3 linked regions of the Danio rerio genome follow. The main gene of each other region encodes a partner of the protein of the gene in region 2 in a complex. Links are inferred from orthologs where the notes say so. Each region holds a gene or a part of one and is shown on either strand. Other genes may lie near its edges.

Region 1 (7,312 bases), on a different chromosome or scaffold from region 2:
AAAGGTCTCATTGCCTAGGATTTCAATCAAATGAATCAAACTCTAGCCATGAATAAAACAATAGGCTATTTTATTATTTTAGATGAGGGGTTAGTAATTATATCATACATGGTTAATTGTATTCATGTCAATGAAATAATAACTTAAAATAGTTATATAATACTTATTAATAGTTATTACAGTAATAGTTAAATAAAATATCTTCGTAAGAATGTGAGGAGTTCTTCACTTCTCTGCCAGAGACTGCTCTATGGTTTTAAAACCCTTTTTAAACTCTACGGTTTAGACCTGGTTTACTTTTTTTCATAATAAATAAAGTGTAGTCCACTTGTGGATGTCTGATGACTAGCGTGCTTACGCGACGTCAACACACAGAATCTGTCGGCACAGTTCAGCACAGTTGTCTAACCGTGCAGAGAATTCCGGGCCGAGAACGGTTTGTAATCGTGTCGCGCTGTTCCAGGCTCAGTGGAGAAACAATTGTAACCATACTGAAGTGTTCTTAGAACAGTTCAGCTCGATAGTGGAAAAGCAGCTAAAGACTGTAGAATATGTCACTCGTTTACTTTGAATGGGGAAAAGCGTAACAGCAAAGACTATAGAATGCACAAGACATGTTACTTGTATCTTTGTGAATGGAGAAAAGTGTAACGTCAATATGGTGAATAAAGCCCCACATACTAGTTCAGGAGCCAATCATCGATCGCTATAAAACCTGATTTATACTTCTGCATCAGGTGACCGGCGTAACCCACGGCGCATGCAACGCGCGTGGCTGTGCATTTATACTTCTGCGCGCTGTCTCTGTCGGTCTGCATTAACACTTCCGAAATGCTAGTTGGCAGTGAGGTGTAAATGTTCCTCTGTGTCGAGTTTCTTCGCTGCTTTTTTGCTTTTCCTGAACACTTCAGGGATGTACAAGTGGCTCAAACTCGCTCATTTTAAGGCAGGAACCGGCGGACGTGCAACAACTTTAACTATGAGGTAAACACAAAACAAAACTTTCCATCGGGAGCTCCTTCACGGGACTCCAATCTTGTAAACAATTGCTCGCGCCATTTGCGCGGCTCTCGGTCCCGCCCAGACTCATCAGCGCTACCAAGCCGACCAATCACAGAGCTTACGCTACGCGTCGTTGCGACGTGTAGTTACAATTTTTGAGAGGTGCACGTCAGTGACGGCGACGGCCACGGCGAAGGGCTATGCGTCATACGCTGGCGTTTGACGCAGAAGTATAAATCAGCCTTAAGGCAAATAACGCCCGCCTTCTAGTACAGGAGCCAATCATCAATCGCTGGAGACCAGTGGTAGGGAACCTATGGCTCGAGAGCCACAAGTGGCTCTTTGACCAAAAATACGTAGCTCTCCAACTGTCTCCTTTCAATAATATTTTACAGCTTAAAAAATTATAAATGTCACTCAGTTTTCTATTGAAAATAAAATTACATTTCCTTTTTTATTGTATTTATTTACAGAAAAATTTATAAGAAATAAGCAAACAACTTAAGGGGCCCTATCATACACCCGGCGCGATAAGTCACAAGACGTGTTTGCCCCGACGTGTTGCTATTTTTAGACCAGCGCAACCTTAATTTTCCAGTTTTCTGCCGCATTGTTTAAAAAGCAAATCCATTTGCGCCACTTTGTGGACTCATGGGTGTTCCGCTCCAGAAAACAGGTGTGTTAAGGCACATTGTTTGGTGTTGTTTAATTTGAGAAACTAAAATAGACTGAGCATTAGACCAGCTGAAAGGTCTAAAGTCCAGCACAGAGCGAGTCAGGTGTCCACCTCGCTTACACATTGCTTAAAACCAAAGGAAGTACAACTATACACAAATATCTGTACAACTGAAAAAGAATTAAAGGATTAAAATATTACAAAAATTTGAATTTTCTACATAAACATATAAACCTTCATACCTTTATCTCGGGAGGCTTTTTTCAGTTTATTTACAACAACTTGCTTTTTAATAATGTTATAACTATTAGTAGTATTATTTATTATATGCGCATTATATTTGTTTTATTAAAAAGATTTGTCCATCTGTCGGGTTTTGGACCATATGGGGCATAGCACGTGTGTTAGTATATAATTCAGTTTTTTTGACCACACTTTGTTATTATTGTTCATTTATTTATAGCTTTAGACTTCGTGCCTAGATCGTTAAAATAGAACCCTACACTTCTATAACCTCACGCATGAAAATTCAAACAACATTTATGATGATGTCAAAAAGAAAAAGTTCTATAAATTGTCCATTCTTTGTTCATAAACTTGCTCAACATGTGATGCTTCATATTTGTTTATTTTTGAGTTGTGCATGTACATAAATAAAGGTGTTGTTTAAACCTGTATTGTTTATATCCAATAGGTCTTTAAAAAACTGCATTTTAAAAAAAAAAAAAATCAAAAATGGCTCTTTGCCGAAAAAAAGGTTCTCAACCCCTGCTATAGACTGACGATACTCCGGGGAGAGGCTCAGACCAGGCGTGAGTTTCTGCAGATTTTGTTTGATTCAAACACTTAGAAATACAAACTAAAGAGACCGTTCTTGTTTAATTTTATTGGCGATTCCTAATATGGAGTTTAATCGTAAGCGTATATCAATATGGCGAATGAAGCCCCACCTTCTAGTGCAGGTGCCAATTATTGATCGCTATAGACTGATGATTCCCCGGGGAAGGGGCTTAGGTCAGACATGAGTTTCTGCAGATTTTGTGTGATTCAAATGTTTAGAAATGAAACTAAAGTGACAGTAGTTGTTGTTTTATTTTATTGGTGACTCCTGATATGAAATTTAATCTTAAGTTTAGCAAGCAATTTTGAGCATACTGCCCGAGAGCCGTTTCAAAGATGGCACCAACAAAGTTGGTGGTTCATTCCGTTGTGGTGACCCCTAATTAATAAAGGAACTAAGCCAAAAAGAAAATGAACGAATAAATAAAATGCAGTGTATCTGATGCTTTAGATTATGCTATCTACATACATTTGTATATACTGTAGAAAGTAGGGCTGCAACCGTTCAAACTTCTCACAGTTCCGTAAATATAACAGTTTTGGTATGATATGTGCTGTTTAGAAAGAAAAATGGCTCCAAACAAATTTAAAAAACAAATTGAACACCTATTTATTGAATAACGGACATCTAACAACTCAACTTATAAAATATAAAAATACAAGCAGTTTTTGTCCTCCTGCAAAAAAATAAGTAAATAAAAAATTTAACATTTTAATCAAAGATCTGTATAGTTTTCAAAATTAACATAAATGACCCAGTGTAAGCTATTTTATTTTAACAATTATAGGCCAGGGTTTTGCAAGAAAACCAGCATTTGTTTTTTTTTTGTTTGTGAATTTACATTGAGTGACTGAAGGCAATGTACTGTGTTGTGGTCCCACTTGCACTTTCGTGGTTTCTCTCCTTCACACAGACACGATATAAATTCAAGAACTCAACACACTGAGATGTGAGGAAAGTTGACGTCAGCGGAGTGAGTGTGGTAGAGAGTTCCAGAGTTTGGGTGCAATAACACTAAATGATCTGCCCCCCATTGAAGAGAGGCGGTACCGAGGGACAGCGAGAAGGCCAGAGTCAGCGGAACGTAATGAACGAGTTGGGGTGTAGGGGACAAGTATGCTGCAGAGATAGGAGGGAGCTAGGCTATTTAGGGATCTAAATGCAAGGAGGAGAATTTTGAATTTAATGCGATAAGCAACTGGGAGCCAATGGAGGTCGTACAAAATTGGGGTTGTGTGAGCAGAACGTTTGGTATAAGTGGTATAAGGAAAATACGTACTGTTTCTCAATTCTAAAACTGTATTTGCACGCAATTGACAAATAATCACAGGAAAATTAAACTTTAGTAACAAGGCAGCAGTGGCCCGATCGGGCCAGTAACGATCCTGTCTACTGTCCCGAGCATCTCACACGCTGGCCCCGGGCCATCGGGCAGTCCTTATTGTTGAGCCCTGTAATCTAAAGTGTACAAGGCAGTATTGCTGCAGTTGTTTTTATCCCCAAACCAAAATAAAAAATGTATATTTTTAACTGTGGATCACAGGACACACCAAATCATAGGAGGATAACAGGACATTTCACATTTTACCGAGAACCCCAAATAGTGAAGGATTTAAAGATCGTTGTCATTTTAGTGGCGACACAATTATATGAACAAATAGAAATAGATCCGTTTTCACAATTATGCATCATGCATGAAATGACCAGGTGTAAACAGCCTCAATGAGACACACTCTGACATTACATTAAAAAACAAGGCTGAAGGAGATCTGATACTCACTGGTTGAGTAATAATTTGGTCAGCTCCATGTAATATGGATTTGGGATGGGAGTAAAAGTGTCTAATTTCCTCTCCTGTTCACGGATGTCTTCTAGTTTGTCTGAAAATGAAAAGATCAGCAGCGTTTAGAGCCTGCCTTCAGAATAGATGGTGTCCCAGCACAGACAGACTGAAACTCACCTGTGTCCATCCATTCTGGAGGAACTATCCTGCATTTCTGCCGTTGTTTAAGATTGAGGGCCAACCAGACAGGAACTTCAACAGGCAGACCTGGGTTGAACGGGCCTAAATCTCCCTGGAAAAATTAATCAATAAATCAGATACATACTCAAGTAGCTAGCTGTAAGTGACCAAAAAAGTATGGTCTAAACAAAACCTGTAATTCAGAGATGGCACAAAACATGCTATCTTAATCCCCTTTCCTTTATTTCAATTTAGTCCATTATTTATCATGGATCGCCACAGAGAAATGAATCCCCAACTATTCCAGCAAATGTTTTATGTAGCGGATGTCCTTCCAGCCACAACCCAGTACTAGAAAACAGCCATACACTCTCACATTCACACACACACTCATACACTACAGCCAACTTTGTTTAGCCAATTCACCTGTACCACATGTCTTTGGACTGTGTGGGAAATCGGAGCACCCAGAGAAAACTCCACACAAAAGGTGGGACTCAAACCAGTGACCTTTTTGCTGTGAGGCGACTGTGCAAACCCCTGAGCCACCGCCCAATAAGCCATATGAATAAAGAATTTAACATTAAGTATATAGGACATTCTACCAGAAACGTATATTTTCATAAATTTATATTTTATAAAAAAAAATTATAATTATTTTTTTACATATATTTATTTACATATATTTATATAAAATGTAACAGGGCCAGACCTTTAAGCTTGTCCTACTTATAAAATCATACAAAAACAAGCATAAAATCATACAACTCAATGATAGAACACATCGTTGATCACTGTCAGCTTCTCCATCAAATGATGTCACTTCCGAGTCATAGCCTTAAAGGTGTATTGCACGCTTTTTTTGTTAAAGTTCATGCAAACAGGAGTGACCAAAACATGAGGACAATTATAAGTGTATTTGTATTATATATTTGTAGTATTTATTTGTAGAATGTAATTATAATTTCATGTTTTTAATCAATTGATGTGATTGCTAACAACTTTAACTTGCAATTACTACAACAGTTTTTAGCATGACAAAACTATTAAAGCTGAGGACAAGGACCCTTTTCACATTTCTAGGTTTCTCAGTAATGGAAGGCGTCACAGTTGGGTAAACTTAAAGTGTAGTAAATTAGAGAGTACAACAAATAATCTTTATTACAATCCTATTTGCTGAAATGATAAAAACTCCATGATGGTGTTATCAAAACTATCAGACTGATGACGGCAGCCAGAGGAAAGAATAATGTCAAATTTACTTTTAACCCCATAGACGCTGTAAATTTGTACAGAGTAAAATTTGTACATTTGTAAAGTTTTTAATGAAGAACAAAAATCTGAAAACCAAATGACATATTCCTTCACAGAAAAACTCAAAAAATCCAGTCCATTTTAAAAAATATTTGGAATAAAATACTTTTTATTCACTGTATTTATGTTTTTATTTCAGGGACAGACAATGTACAATTCTGGTAGAATGTCCCTAATATCTCAAGCGGCTTACTTGGAATAAACATTTAAACATGGTTACAAGCATTGACTCAAGACATTTGGCTTCGCACATCTTTTCACAAAATGTACTTTTGCTTGCTGTAATTAAACCTTTTAACACTGTCAGAGATTAAAATAAAATGTATTGTCTAGTATAAAACATAGACTATGAACTATATTTATCTATTAAGACACACATTATTTGTGTGTGTGTGCGTGAGAGAGAGCAATTCCATGCAAACGTCAACCTTGCCATGAAAAGTTTTTGCCAAAATAGCAAAATCGTTTCTTCATTTTTTGTGCAAGCAGGTACTTTACAGCACTTTAAAAATACTCAAAAATGTCTCTGTGAATGTTCTCAAATAATTATATTTGATTCACCAAAATCAATCACAAGTGCCAATGTCACATCTGTTACATCCATAACAAAGCTTTTCCCTCACAAATGCAAAAATGTCAAATCAAATCAATAGTTTTAGTACTATTTTGAGCCAACTCTTCTCCTTTTGATTATCATTATTTCTGTTGGATTGAGATTAATTTACAAAATTTTTACAAAGTATGTTGTATACTGTAAACTCACTAACTTTTTTGTCACATACATAGCGCCTGTTTATTTTCCTCATTTAAAGTATAAATTTTTTTTTACAGATTGATCTTTTTCTGATCTCATAACTCTTTGTCAGTTGTTCTGGAAAATATAATTAAATGTTTCAATATAATGTTACCATATACTTTCTCTGTGAATTTATGTTTTGAGATTTTACTGCAAATGTCACATCCATAACGCTGGAATTGCTCATGTATGTAAATATATATATATATATATATATATATATATATATATATATATATATATATATATTTTTTTTTTTTTTTTTTTTTTTTTTTTTTTGGCAAGAACCAAAACACATTGTAAGTGCTGGATATACACACTACTAATCAAAAAAATGTACAGATCATTTGAATGTGGTCATGTCATTGGCCCATAAACATTTCCTGCTTTTTATCCAGTGTTGGGGAGTAACTAGTTACATGTAACGCCATTACGTAATTTAATTACAAAATAAAAGTAACAGTAACTAGTTACAGTTACTAAGAAAAATATGTAATTAAATTACAGTTACTTTTGAAAATGGTAAAAATTACAAATGGGGTTACATCTAATATTTTTCTTTAAATCTCTGTGATATGTTGAATAATATTAATCTATTGCTTTGCCTGTTTTTGATATGCACGATGGCTTCTGCTAAGGCCATTTATTCAAGCTCTGATGCTTTTGATTTGCGGCGCAACCACGGGCGTAAATCCTGGGGGGAACATGTTCATTGTCCTC
Region 2 (7,312 bases):
TCTTGCGATGACCATCGGCGCAATACCACTGTTTATGAGCCGCAGCTTCAGTGTGAACTTAGTAAAGGCGAGCTTCTTTGGCGATGATATGTCCAGTATTAGATTTAACTTTTAGCGGACATTTGCGCTGAACACGCAGTGAATGCAACGCATCGAGATTCGGGCGCCTTCTCCGAAAAGCACATGGTCGATTGATCTCAGCTGGCGGATCAATATTCACCACATGTCATGATCGCTTTCATCTGCGCCTCAACTTTAGGTGGGGTTTGCAAACCTGTGTGCTTTAAGTTTTCACTCTTCAGCCGTTTGCATTTCCCGTGGTCATAAAAGCTTCTTCCCTGTCACCTGACTGCGGAATATCTTGAGTGATTGACAGCTAATATGAACCAATATAGCGGCAGGGAAGACCGATTTAGCACGTTTTTAGAAAAAATCTAAACAGGTCACACTACAACCATTATCTGCAGTCGCACTAATGCTCCCATATATATTATGAGGTTGCATAGATTATTCTCGGGCGCATTTGCGACCAAAACAGTCGCAATTTCGAGCCCTGACTTCGCATATTTCTGAAATATCTGCAAAAATATTATGGATATTATAGTATTAATAGTCCAAAACTTACATACAGCCCCTTTAATTATAAAAGAGACAACGAACAATTTGATTGCAAAAGAAATCTGACATATGAAATGGCCAATTAAAAAATAAATCAAGATCAGCTAATCACAGTGAAATATCAGTATCGTCCTTAAATTAAAAGTAACAAAGCTGGCAACATATAATGCTGTGCTGTTATAGTGTTTCTATACCTCAATAAGGGCCTGACTGGCTTCTTCACTCAGTCTGGGATGTACAGTTGTGCGAGCGAAGGCGATGTAGTCTTTCAGTACAGCCATGTCCAGATGCTCCTCTTCAATCTGCTCTTCACTCTGATAATACAGAGAGACAAGGTGGTGCGCCAGACGCCTGTCATACGCCTCGTCCTGAGGGTCCAGCATTAGGAAGATCAAATCAAACCTGGAAAAAAAACAGATGCAGAGAGACAATTATTAGACAAAAGAAGAAAAAAAAACATTAAAATAAAAAGCAGCTTATGTTGAACTAATATTATGAATAATTAATAATCTTTGAGATCACAAAAGTAAAAAAAAAATTAAGTTCTTTTATGTAAATTTGCCCTATTTGTTAATAAATGTCTTTAAAGTTAGTTTATAATTTAATTTGACAACTAATTTAAATTAAACACTTCTATACTGACAAAACTAATATTTAATTATATCATCCAAATGTTTTTTTTCTTTACTTTTAAACATTAAAATTATCACATAATTATTGGCATTTCACATAAACACTGCACTTAGGAAGTTGGTTCCCAAATAATATTAAGCAGCACAACACTTTGCATTACAAAAATGTAATACATCCTAAAAGAAAACATCTATTTTAAACTGTAATTATTAAACATTACATTTTTACTTTATTTTTAATCTAATTAATGTTAACTAATATTTTTCAAAACACATTGTTTTAAATATTCAGCAGATGATTAATATACATTATCCGCTATAAATACGGTTGTTTAATTTGTACCTGGACAGCAGTGTGTGAGGCAGCTGAATGTTCTCTATCGTTGTCTTTTTGGGGTTCCACTGAGACTCCACCGGATTGGCTGCTGCGAGGATGGAGGTCCGAGCATTAAGCTGACAAATAATCCCAGCCTACGAAACACACACACAATCCTGCATTAATCATCAGTTCAAACAAATGCATTGCAATTCCAAACCCAATCCTTCATGCACCTTCAGATACATGTCGGTATTCATTAATTCGATATATTGTGATAATGAACATGCACAATATTGATATCACAGGTACCTCAAAACACCATGATTAATTGTTTAAACATTTGAGTGCCTTTTAAGAAAATGTTGTATTAGTTTGTTGTATTAGTATTGGTTAGGTTATTTTCAAAAAGTAAGACTTACTGAATCTGAGACTATTTATAGGCCTTTTGTTCATGAATTCTGACTCATTAAAGTCCATGTAATGATAACTACAAAAACATTTATTAATCTTAGGTGATGTTAATTTGTAGTTAATGCTTAATTTATTGAAATGCTTTCATTTTCTTTATTTCTTTTTTTCAATTTCTCATTGCATCCTGGCCAAATCTGCCCACTGGCCTCTGTCTATCATGGCCTTCTAACCATCCTCATATCATAATGGGTTCATGGTCTCCTCTCCACCAATCAGCTGGTGTGTGGTCTGGCACAATATGGCTGCCATCACGTCATCCTGATGGATGCTCCACACTGGTGGTGGATGAGGAGACCCCGCCCCCCAATGTGTAAAGCGCTTTGAGTGTCCAGAAAAGCGCTATATAAATGTATAGAATTATTATTATTATTATTATTTAAATCTAACGTCGAAATTGCTTCATTAAATGTGATAAACAGACTTATTTGGTTGTATTTTTTGCGAACGTTGACATAACTATAATAGGCGACGCAGTGGCGCAGTAGGTAGTGCTGTAGGTAGTTCTGTGTGGAGTTTGCATGTTCTCCCTGCGTTTGCGCGGGTTTCCTCTGGGTGCTCCGGTTTCCCCCACAGTCCAAAGACATGCGCTATAGGTAAATTGAGTAGGCTAAATTGTCTGTAGTGTATAGTGTGTGTAAATGAGTGTGTATGGATGTGTCCCAGAGATGGGTTGCAGCTGGAAGGGCATCCGCTCCATAAAACATGTGCTGGATAAGTTGGCGGTTCATTCCGCTGTGGCGACCACTGATTAATAAAGTGACTAAGCCAAAAAGAAAATGAACGAATGAATAACTATATTGCATTTTCTCATTCTTGATTTTAACGAATTATTTTAACGGTTTATGAAAGAGAATTTATTGTAAAGTGTTACCTATTTTACTTTATCATCCTTTTGCAATTTAATGTGTTTAAAACATTTATTTTATCTCAACATGTGTATATATAATAAAGCATTTTTGTAACTATACTTGTTAAATTACTGCAGCTTGGGTCAATACTGTGATGAAACGTATATAGTTAAAAAACTAAGGTAATCAGATACGTATAAGCCTATGCACCTTAGCAATAGAGAGCGTCTGCTGCTCCATGACCTCGTGCAGCACAGATCTGGTGTTGTCGCTCATCTTGTCGAACTCGTCGATGCAGCAGATGCCATTATCGCTGAGCACGAGCGCTCCGGTCTGCAGGACCAGCTGTCGGGTTTCAGGATCCTTCATCACGTAGGCTGTGAGACCAACGGCGCTGGATCCTTTCCCGGACGTGTACTGACCGCGAGGAACCAGGTTGTACACGTACTGCAGCAGCTGGGATTTACTGGTGCCCGGATCACCACACAGCAGGATGTTGACTTCAGCACGGAAGTTTCCTCGGCCCGTCTGAGTGAAGTCCTTACGCGTCCCGCCAAATAACTGCAACAGGATGCCCTGGAAAACATCAACACCATCAACTTGTGTCCTGACAGCATATTCCTTGATGTAAAGGTCTCGTGAAGTGCTTTAAAATGTGCATTTTTATTCGATGACTGACGTAATCTCAATCAACACATGAAGACGGAGTGGGACAAGTTCGCAAGTGGAGGAGCAATTCAATTACACTCAAAACAACTTCATCAATTTAGAGTTTCCCATCATACTGACCTTCTTGATGTCCTCGTGTTCGTAGATGCTGGGAGCCAGAGCAGAGGACAGGCGCTCATAGACGTCAGGTTTAGCGGCTAGCTCTTTTAGCAGAGCGACTCGTTCTTTAGTGAAGAGTTTCTGCTCTCCGTCCTCGTCCAGTCCATGCAGACGCTTCTCGTCAGTCTTGCGGAAGTGAATGGCGTCAATGTGGGTCTTGTAAACAGACTTCACCTGGCTCTGCCGTGGGTTCAGACGCATCGGGGCAGCTCTGTAGATGCCTGAGCACAATAAAAGAAGAGTTGCTCAGTCATTTTGCCAAACGAAAGACAAAAACATGAGTGTAAAAAAATACAAAAAAAATGTACCAAAAAAAAAAAAAAAAAAACAGCCTATGCCGGTTCTTATAAAGGATTCAGTCAGTGTTTTCATTTTGTAACCTAAGCCCCCGTTTACACTGCCAGTTAAATGTGACCCAATTCCGATTTTTTGCTCATATGTGACGCAGATCGGATCTGTTCTACGACTGAGTAAACACAAAAAAAAAAAAAAAGGCATGCATTCGGATGTTCAGAGATCGGTTTCAGGCCTCCTTCGCATTGGGAAATAAATCAGATTTAGATCGGATATGTGACAATGCGACTGTCATGTAAACAGGCAGATCGGATTTATTGAGGCATTCCGTTCTGTACATCATTAAACTTGCGACAATGTGGTGCTTCTCCGCAGTTTAATGACAGAAAGAAGAGCGTGTGTGGAGATGCAGACGCGGTAAACAACATCAGAGGAAACACAGAGGAGGAAGTGGTCAGTCGACACCATTTGCTCCCAGCAGACCCGAGATCTCTCTCGTACCCACACATTCCTCTGAATGGTGGAGGACATCATAAAGCATATAAACCATAAGCGCAAGCTGCGATGACGGCCCTTTTCCTCCTCCACCACAAAATCATTTTAAAGTTGGGCGAACTTCGTGTTGTAACTTTTGCTTTTTGTCACTATTAATACACATAGAACAACTTTATTCTCTCTAACACCAGTGCGCACACAGGCAAAGGCTACATATTTAACTACACACACACACATCAGTGCCATACCATTATTACTACGTGGGGGTAAATCTGGACTAAACCATTCACTGCTTATACTACACTTCGCAGAGCTAAAAACAAGACAATTTCTTCCATCGTGGCTAGTGTGGCATAGATGCTAGAACCCGGCTTTATGCATGCGCGACAACATAAATTGTATGGCAAGTGTAAACGAGTGAATTGGATATGGGTCACAATTAAAACAACGTGTAAACAGACAGGCAAACAAATCAGATATAGGCAACAAATTGGAATTGGGCATCAAGACCAAACAGTGTAAACGGCGCCTAAATTAATAATTTAATTGAAAAAATTGTTAGGGCAGGCCTATTTATTTTATTCATTTAATTTAGTTTATTCTGTTTTTCTATGCTGTTGGAAATACTGCAGGTGTGTGAAGATACTCTGTTGTTATGTTCGCATGTTAAAATAAATCAGTGTTTAAAATGCAATATTTAATGTGTCAGACACAACAGAGACGTCAAATTTTTTTAAACTAAATGCTAATTTAATATTAATATGACCAGTTAACAGGTAATATTTGATTAATGAGCGGCGGTTGTCGGTAAGCAAAATTAACCAAAATGAGCATCCCTACTTCACAGGGGCGTAAATCCCAGGGGGAAAAGGGGGGACATGTCCGTTCCTATCCGAGGCTTGTAATTCTCCATAAATCTGCTGCATTAACGATTGAAATTACTTATTTGGGGTGTCAAAATTAATTGTTTCTTCGGTGCACCGCGATGCAGACGCGGACAATAAGGTATCGGTTCCGTAATAATCATAACCGGTTATTATGTACTGATGTCACGTCATTGATCTCCTATGCGCTCTGTCACGAGGGAGGTGAGCGCGAGTATTTTTAACACTCAGCCAACTCAGGGCCGGTCTGTGGCATAGGCACCATAGGCAAATGCTAAGGGTGCTGTATATCCAGGGGGGCGCCAGAAAGGAGCGTGGTTCAGTTGGTTTTGTTTTCGATATTCCTGACACGCATTCAGCTTTAGACGGCATTAACTCATAAACCTCCTACCCTAAAAAGATCTAAAGTGTGTTTCCTACAAAAAGACAAAGCTGGTTATGTTCCACAGCTGTCTTTCTTTTTTTTCGCTCGACATTACGAGCACTGCTCTGTTTAAGCCCTCGCAATACGTGTTTAGCCGGGAGAGCTCGCGTGGAGAGGAGCTCTCAGAAAGGGACCGTCTGAAAAGTGCTTTTTTTTCTTTTTTCTGCTCCGCTCAGCGCAAGCTCTCCCTGTTGCAAGGGCTTAAGTGTGTGTGTGTGTGTGTGTGTGTGTGTGTGTGTGTGTGTGTGTGTGTGTGTGTGTGTGTGTGAGCGTGTTTCTTTGGTCCTGTCTATGTTTGTGTATGTGTTTGAATGAGAGACAGTGTGGTGCTGTGTGTCTGTGTGTTTATACAGACAGCTTGTTATAGCCTCCCCCCTAAAATATAACACTGTATATGGAAAGCATCGTCAATACACCGAGATATCGAATTGAACCGAAGGCATGATAATCGTAACCGAACCAAACCGTGAGACCAGTATAGGTTCACACCTCTATTACTTATCTAGTTAACGTTAGCTTGTTGCTAACACTAAAGCCATTTCCCATGCATTGTTTAATTTGTGACGACTTGGCATAATGTTAACTTAACATTAACGACCACAATTAGCATATTGTTTTGCTGTGTATTTGCTAAATGAGCGCTGTGCTACACTGTGCACACTGTGCACACTAACCCCACTGTATTATTCTATAATCAGTTTCTATTCAGTTTTAAGTAACTCAATTAATTTAAAATTAAAATGTTAACCTTTTTTAGTTATTTGTTTTTGTGATTATTTTTATGATAGTTTTGCATTCTTTATGTAAAGCACTTCGAATTACCATTTAAATGTGCTACAACATAAATAAACTTGCATTGCAGTGTCATGTAATGAATAAAATGACAGAGAAAATTGAAATAAGATAATTTTTCAGTGCAGCTAAACGCCAAGTACAAAAACTTCACGTATTAAGGCAATTTGGCTTTAAGAATGAGTGCTTATGAAAATACTAATGTCACATTATCAATCACAGGCAAAGGAGAAAGAAATGACTGAGGAACAGGCAGGGCAGGGTCAGTCAGATGTACAGTGTCAAGTAAGGGTGTTGTGCTTTATTTAAGGGATCATGACAATTCTTTAGGGATGAACAATTTTTTTATGTTTTCGTAGTTGTGGCTGTTTAGCAGATGAACCTCGCAGGTTTAATGATTTACAATATGATCGGTCATTTTAACAAGTGTAATGTAAACAAGTTAGTTATTATGAGTATGGAAAACGTCTTTTCCTGCATTTATTCTGCTTCAGGAGTCAGACAGTCGACTGTAAACAACACAACAAACAATGCAATAAATAGTTTTGAAGAAAAATTTGCTTTGTCGTTAAACCTGAGAAAAACTTTAAAAATAATCATAATGACGTAGTCTCCACGCTATATTAATAATGATGAAACCATTTTTAACTGCGGGGAGACATCTTTATTAGTACAATTCGGCTGTATTATTTGTGTCCCCTTCAAAA
Region 3 (7,312 bases), on a different chromosome or scaffold from region 2:
CCTCTCTCATCTGCAGCCCGAGAGCAGATCACCCCTCTGCGTACCGACAACAAATGATTTAGCACAGGCAGTGTAAAGGTATTTCCCTTGTACAGTCAAACCGATCTACTTCTACTTTATTTTAACAATCACAGATATTAGTGACAGTTTCTGAATTTGTCTGAGTTTATTACATATGAGAGATTACTGCACATTCACTACACATCTATAATGACATACTGTATTCAAACAGCAATACATTTAGTTAATAAACATGCTTATATAAAGTGTAGTGCAATTATAAATACCCCTTTATTAACCATAGGGTGTAAAACAAACAGAAACGGTAAAACGTGATGACGTCAGTGATATGCAAATTGGCGTATGACGTATCCCCCCCCCCCCTCTTCATCAGTGGGCCCCGTCAGCGATCCCTGCAGGGGGACTCCGCATTTTGCGCTACGCCACTGTTTCTAATATAAACACACGATTTTCCCGCATGGTAAATAGCTGTTCATGGTGCGTGTATTTTGGGTCCTGGTGATTGCTAATTAAGAACAAAAGCCTTTCTAAAAAATGTATGTGTCGTTGATATGTTATTCTTCATACTTTACAAGTTTTCTACCCCTTTGTGTCATGACTGTGTTTGTCCACCAGGTGCCAGCAACCCCCAATGAACTACAGTGGCTAAAGAACTACATTTCCATACATATTTTCGCGCACACACCCGGTCTGTCATCTACACTGATTTACAACCACAGCTGTCTCCGTTCTCCGTTGATTACCTGGACTATATATTCAGTCATTTATCCTCTGTTTGTCAGTTGGTCGTTGTCGTTTTTTAATGTTATTCCTGATCCTTGCTCTTGTATCTTGTTATAGTCTAGTTCGAGTTTAATCTGTCTTAGTTTCTTGTTTTGTTAGTTTGCTATTTTGTTACTTTGTATTTTTGTCACTTTCACTGCCCTATACATCAATTAAACTGCACTTGGATTCTACACCCGTTTTTTTTGTTCCTGTTTTGGTCGCTCTACCGTGACACTATGAAGATGCCAAATACCAACAACCCGTTATAAGAGAAATATTTTGTGTGCTCATAGCGGAGTCTAACTTTTATTTCTGCAGTCCAGCAGATATTATTTTTATTAAATTATTAATAACAGCTTGCATCACAGTTTTCAAATAAATCGTATATAATTACATGTGTTTGAATGCAAGTGCTTATATTTAAATTAGCGAGCCTTTGTTATTGTGCAGAAACGGGCGGTCAGGTGAGACGTTCGGGGGGCGTGGTTGATTTGGCGTACACACATTTGATTGGAAGCTTGATTCTGCAGCTCCGCCTCTGGCTCCATCAGGCAGTTCTATTGCGCATGCTCCAATTTCAGCAGTGTTTTGCGACAGTTTGTGCCCGTCATGCATTTAAGGCGTTCAATGGGAGCATATTTGTTCACATATTTTTTACAGTCGTTGTTCGGGGGAAAAAAAAATGAATCACTGATTGAATCACCTGGGAGTCGTTAGGTAATCAGGTAAAAATAAACGCATATTATAAGACAATGAAGGTGTTTTTTGACCCTATATGCAGATCAGCCTGTTGTTGGAGACCCCCAAATCCACAACATGACCTTTTAATGCATAATAGGGGCTATTTCAATACAGAAGTGTTTCTCACCGGCCTTCATCATGTCGACGCTCTGCAGGTTTGGTGGCATATGTTTCAAAGCCACGGCTCGCAGGTAAACCTCTGTGTTCGCCAGATACCTGAACACACACACACACACATTGAGTTTTCATGTTTATTGGGGACTTCACCATAGATGTAATGATGTTTCTATTGTATTTACTCTTCCCCAACCCCACCCTCACTGGAAACAATCTGCAAATTTACATCTTACAAAATACTTCATTCTGTCTGATTTATGGGCCACTTTTCCTCAAGGGAACCAAAATAATGTCCCCACAATGTCAAAATGTACTGGAATTGCTGTATTTTATTGTCCCCATAATGTAATGGATATCAGGTACACACTCATTCACACACGCACAGAGACAGACAGACAAACACACACATACACACAAAGACAGACAAACACATATACACACATACACACACACAGACATTTACACACACACTCACACAAAGACACACACACAGATAGACACAAACACACACACAAAGACAAACACACATAGTCACAAACAAAAAACACACAGACACACACATACATAGACAGACGTGCACACACACATACACGCTAACAAACACCCACACATACCAGACACACACACACACACACAGACAAACAGACAGACACACACACACAGACAGACAAACACACAGACACAAACACACATAGACACAAACAAAACACACAGACACACACATACATAGACAGACGTGCACACACACACACACACACACACACATACACGCTAACAGACACACACACACATACATACCAGACACACATACACACAGACACACAGACAAACAGACACAAACACAGACACAAACAAAAAACACACAGACACACACACACATACAGACAGACGTGCACACACTAACAAACACAAACACACACACATACATACCCGACACACACAAATACATACATACATAGACATGTACACACACACACACACACACAAAATTGCAAAAAGACACACACACACAGACACACACACTAACACAAACACACACATACATACCCGACACACACACACACACACATACATACATACATACATACATACATACATACATACATACATAGATATGTACACACACAAACAAAAATGCACAAAGACACACACACACAGACAGACACACACACACAAAAACAGACACACACAGACACAAACAAACACCCACACACACAAAGACAAACACACACACACACACACACACACACAGACACACGCAAAGACAAACACAGACACAAACAGATGCAGACACACACATACATAGACAGACGTGCACACACACAAACAAACAGACACACACACACACACACACACACACACACACACACACACACTTAAATTCTCTCTCTCTCTGTCCTCAATCGCCCTCATCATTCGGTCCAGAAGCGTCTCTCTGACAGACATGAACAGATCCTCAGTGCGACAGTCGCAGATTGCGCTGAACTCACTCTTTAGCGAAGGCGAACTCTTCAGGAGACAGGAACGAGGGGTCTCCATCAGCACGGGACTTCTCCTTCTCCAGAACATGAGGGAAAAACTTCTCGATCTGCAGACGAGAAAACCAGACGTGGACACAACATCAGCCTACAGAACAGATCTGGTGTGAGTCCCGACTGGCGTTTCAGTGTGGAGTTCGCATGCTCTCCCCGTGTTGGCGTGGGTTTCCTCCGGGTGTTTCCCCCACAGTCCCAAACACATGCGCTATAGCGTACTGCCAGTCTTTCTGAATAAATTACGCTCGATTTACCTTCTTGAGTCGGGAGCGCAGGAAGCTGCTGAGAACGAAGCGGATGCGGTCGATCTCCATGCGGTGAACACTGGCCTTCAGGTCTCCTTTCCTCACACGCTGCAGGTTTTCCTCCTAAATCACACCACAAGTCATGATCGATACTGAAACGGTCAATCTGACTCGTCTACAGGCTAACATCCGTCACGCAAAGTTTAATCAGACTGAGAAACACTGCAGACAGACTCATACCATGTGTGTGAGCTGCTCCATCACACACTCCACCAGCTCAGACTTGTTCTCCAACAGTTCTGGAGAAAACTTCTCATTGAGCCAAGCCTGAAACACAAGAGACGCTCATTAGGAGACACTGTTCATCTACTCTGTGATGATGCTCACATTAAAACTGCCTCAAACTAAGCATTAACGAGTACTTTGAGCAAAGGCTCCTGGGGTCTGTTCTTCGTACGTGGATTACTCAGTTAGCTGGATTTGGATATTGATGATTTGACACGATCCAGGATCGTTTCGTTCTTCAAAGCTGATCCGAGAGTTGTTGTCATAGCAACAGTTCTGCTAGGTCAAACCTGGTCGGGAGCAGGTTCAATTCATATAAACAGGATTAGATCGGCTCAGTTCAAGCAAATATAATACAGAAAGTATGTTCTGAATTCTGATATTTTCTTACAGTAGTAGTTATATACACTTGGGAAAATGGTACATATTTTTAACTATATATATATATATATATATATGTATAAAGTTATAGTCATTAATAAAATAAATAAAGTTATACATATTAATAAAACTTATGCAATCTGCACCCTCGAAATGAAAGTACAAAGACTGCCACCTGGTAGTGCGAAGAGAAAACTTATTGATATGAACTTTTTAGATCGCTTTAGTACAAATTGTGTATAATAGAAATGCAGAATATGTTACTTTTTTTAAAGCAATAATACATTTATGCAGTCATAAACATGTTTTAATAGTTAATATGCCATGGATTTGATGCTTCACAAAAGTTGCAGACACCTTTACCAATATCAAAATGCTTTTGTAAACAACCAGTTATTCTTTACACCGATTAAAAAAACAACTACTATAATAAAGAAAATCTTTTCTAAATGTAGAACTAAATACATTGATTTGCATTGAAATACATGATGAAGTGTAAAGCCTGCAGCTCACAACAAATGTGGAAGGTTATTGCGTGTCATATTTAACAAGCCGTTTACTGCTAATTTGATGTAATTTTGCTCACATGGATAATTGAATATTAATCAGATGATGTCATTACGCTGCTGTGCCGTCAGCCAATCGTTGCATTGCTGATCATGATTTCGAGGATGGATAGATCTTTCCTTTACAACACACGCAGCGATCTCAGATCAGTTTATCCAGACATTCTAATCTGATTTGCGAACTTGTTTGAAGAACCAAATTAGCGAGAGATCAGTTATCAAGATTAAAAGATCCAGGATCTGCCAAATCATCTTAGATCATTTAAGCGAGGTAAGAAGAACGGACCCCTGCACTCCGGGACGATTTTGGTTTGCGTTTACAGCAGTGGCGCAGTAGGTAGTGCTGTCGCCTCACAGCAAGAAGGTCGCTGGGTCGAGCCTCGGCTCAGTTGGCGTTTCTGTGTGGAGTTTGCATGTTCTCCCTGCGTTCGTGTGGGTTTCCTCTGGGTGCTCCGGTTTCCCCCACAGTCCAAAGACATGCAGGAGAATGGGTAGGCTAAATTGTCTGTAGTGTATGAGTGTGTGTGTGTGAATGTGTGTGTGGATGTTTCCCAGGGATGGGTTGCGGCTGGAAGGGCATACGCTGCGTAAAAACTTGCTGGATAAGTTGGCGGTTCATTCCGTTGTGGCGACCCCGGATTAATAAAGGGACTAATCTGACAAGAAAATGAAAGAAAATTATTTTAACCTTTAGTTTTTGTCTTTTCACTTGTTTTGGTTAACTATAATAATTTGGTTTGGGCAAAATGTGCTAAGCCACGCCCCCTACCATCGCAAAAAATAAAACTCCGCCCCCCCTAATCAATATTCAGTTTCAGTTGGAAACACATCATTGTACTGAAACTTCCAGCTTTAGGCTGCTTTCACACCTGTGAATCGATTCAGTTGTTCCGAAACAGAGATTTGTTTATCTCAGAGGGTTTAATTTGCAGCGTCCCGCTCAGCTGTCAGGAGAGGTGGTGGTTTGATGGTGATTGACAGGGTGCACGCGCGACGTGTCTGAGGAGAGATGCAGTGGGGAGGGGGGAGAAGGGTGCGTGACGATGCCTATTTGAGGACCGGGAGGGAGACTCGAGATTACCGGGAGATCATCACTCGTTTGCGGGCATCCGGAGACTCGCGAAACTTCCCGCCATGCTCATAATTCTCTCTTCATATAGCCGTAAGCCTATTACATATCCATAAAACACTGTGATGTAACCGCGCTCGGATCGGATCACTTTCTCACTGCAATCAAACCGCTCCAGGGTTCTTTCTAATCGAGCCGAGACCTCCTCACTCAAGCGGTCTCGGAGCGATTACTTTGGCGCGGAACAGAGCGCGATTGCCCTGTTCACATATGCCAAACGAACTGCGCTAACTGGGCAAACGAGACACGTTCCCAAACAAAAGTGTAGGTGTAAAAGCACCCTTAAAGTGCACGTGAAATCAAAATGTACAATCTTATTCTTTAGTTAACCCACTGTTTAAAAAATATCTTCAATCAAAGCCCACAATTGCCATTTGCTTCCACCCTAAATGTTGAACCAAATGCCAGATTTTAATGGTTAATTACAAAAAAATATTATTTTTTCAGTGGATTAACTAAAGAATAAAAGTGTGCGCTAGCAAAATAAACATTGTAGATTTTGACGGACTTTAACCTTGCCCATCATACCATTACGAGGCAATAGCCCCTTTCACACACACAGACCTTTCCGGAAAATTACCGGCAATTTTCCGGAAAGGTTGTATGTGTGAACAGGCCCTTTTTGAAAATACCGGTAAATTCGTTCTGGCTATTTTCCGGAAAGAGAAGTTGTAACATTACCGGCAATTTGCCGGAATGCTGCGCTGTGTGAATGCAGAAGGAAAATTGCCGGAAAGAGCGCGTGCACGTCTAGAACGTGCTGATGTGAGATACCTGCTTTAGCCAATCAGAACAGTCAGACGCATTCACGTGCGCGCGGTTTATGAGAATAAAAGCCTTTGAATATTTTTCCAGACACCTTTAGCTGCTAGATGTTCGTCAGATAACGTTTCTATGTTTCTTCTTAATGCCAACTGTGTAAATAATTATCGATAAAATGTTTATGATAATCCGTTGTTTGTTTACCTTCAAGCTTTGCGTGTGCCCGTGAGCGCCCATAGCGCCAGCACACACACATATCATGAACATCTCGACATGCGAAAGTCTTCCTTTATATGTTTTCATTGGAGTTGTACTCGATTCTGATCCATCCAAAGAGTTTGTAATGTAGTCAAATGTTTACAAACACAAGCGCAGCCGTTTAGAGCTCATTTCTGGTTAATGATGTCAGAATTTATCGGCATTTTGCGATGGATGTGTGAATGCTCTTTTCCGGAAAAATTCCGTAACGTCCTCGCCTGTGTGAACAGCGCTTTTTTGAATTTACCAGGAAAGTCGTTCCGGAAATCTTTTTTGGATATTTACCGGTATCACTGTGTGAAAGGGGCTATGATGCTCAAAACTAAAGCCCCGCCCACTACTCAATATTCAGTTTCAGTTGGAAATACCTCATCATACTCAAAAGTCTTGGATTTGAATTAACCATTTTTTCATATTGTGAGGCAGTTCCAAAATATTAAATGAGAAAACAGTGGGAGTGGCTTGTTTTTTATACTAAGGGCTGATTGGATGTATTAAAGTAGGCAT

Evidence for each region.
Region 1: mcm4 (region 2) and gins2 share a complex: the UniProt entries of both Homo sapiens proteins name them as parts of the CMG helicase complex. The link is inferred for Danio rerio from reciprocal best matches to the Homo sapiens genes MCM4 and GINS2.
Region 3: mcm4 (region 2) and gins4 share a complex: the UniProt entries of both Homo sapiens proteins name them as parts of the CMG helicase complex. The link is inferred for Danio rerio from reciprocal best matches to the Homo sapiens genes MCM4 and GINS4.

Annotation. Positions count from the first base shown.
Region 1 is NC_133193.1:32,043,335-32,050,646, forward strand, and holds part of gins2 (DNA replication complex GINS protein PSF2), read right to left. Parts: intron 4,595-7,312; coding exon 4,480-4,594; intron 4,400-4,479; coding exon 4,300-4,399; intron 1-4,299. UniProt on the Homo sapiens protein: Required for correct functioning of the GINS complex, a complex that plays an essential role in the initiation of DNA replication, and progression of DNA replication forks.
Region 2 is NC_133199.1:39,258,949-39,266,260, forward strand, and holds part of mcm4 (DNA replication licensing factor MCM4), read right to left. Parts: intron 3,938-7,312; coding exon 3,678-3,937; intron 3,465-3,677; coding exon 3,099-3,464; intron 1,722-3,098; coding exon 1,594-1,721; intron 1,021-1,593; coding exon 813-1,020; intron 1-812. UniProt on the Homo sapiens protein: Acts as a component of the MCM2-7 complex (MCM complex) which is the replicative helicase essential for 'once per cell cycle' DNA replication initiation and elongation in eukaryotic cells.
Region 3 is NC_133183.1:62,248,666-62,255,977, reverse strand, and holds part of gins4 (DNA replication complex GINS protein SLD5), read right to left. Parts: intron 3,752-7,312; coding exon 3,665-3,751; intron 3,548-3,664; coding exon 3,434-3,547; intron 3,233-3,433; coding exon 3,135-3,232; intron 1,744-3,134; coding exon 1,655-1,743; intron 1-1,654. UniProt on the Homo sapiens protein: Required for correct functioning of the GINS complex, a complex that plays an essential role in the initiation of DNA replication, and progression of DNA replication forks.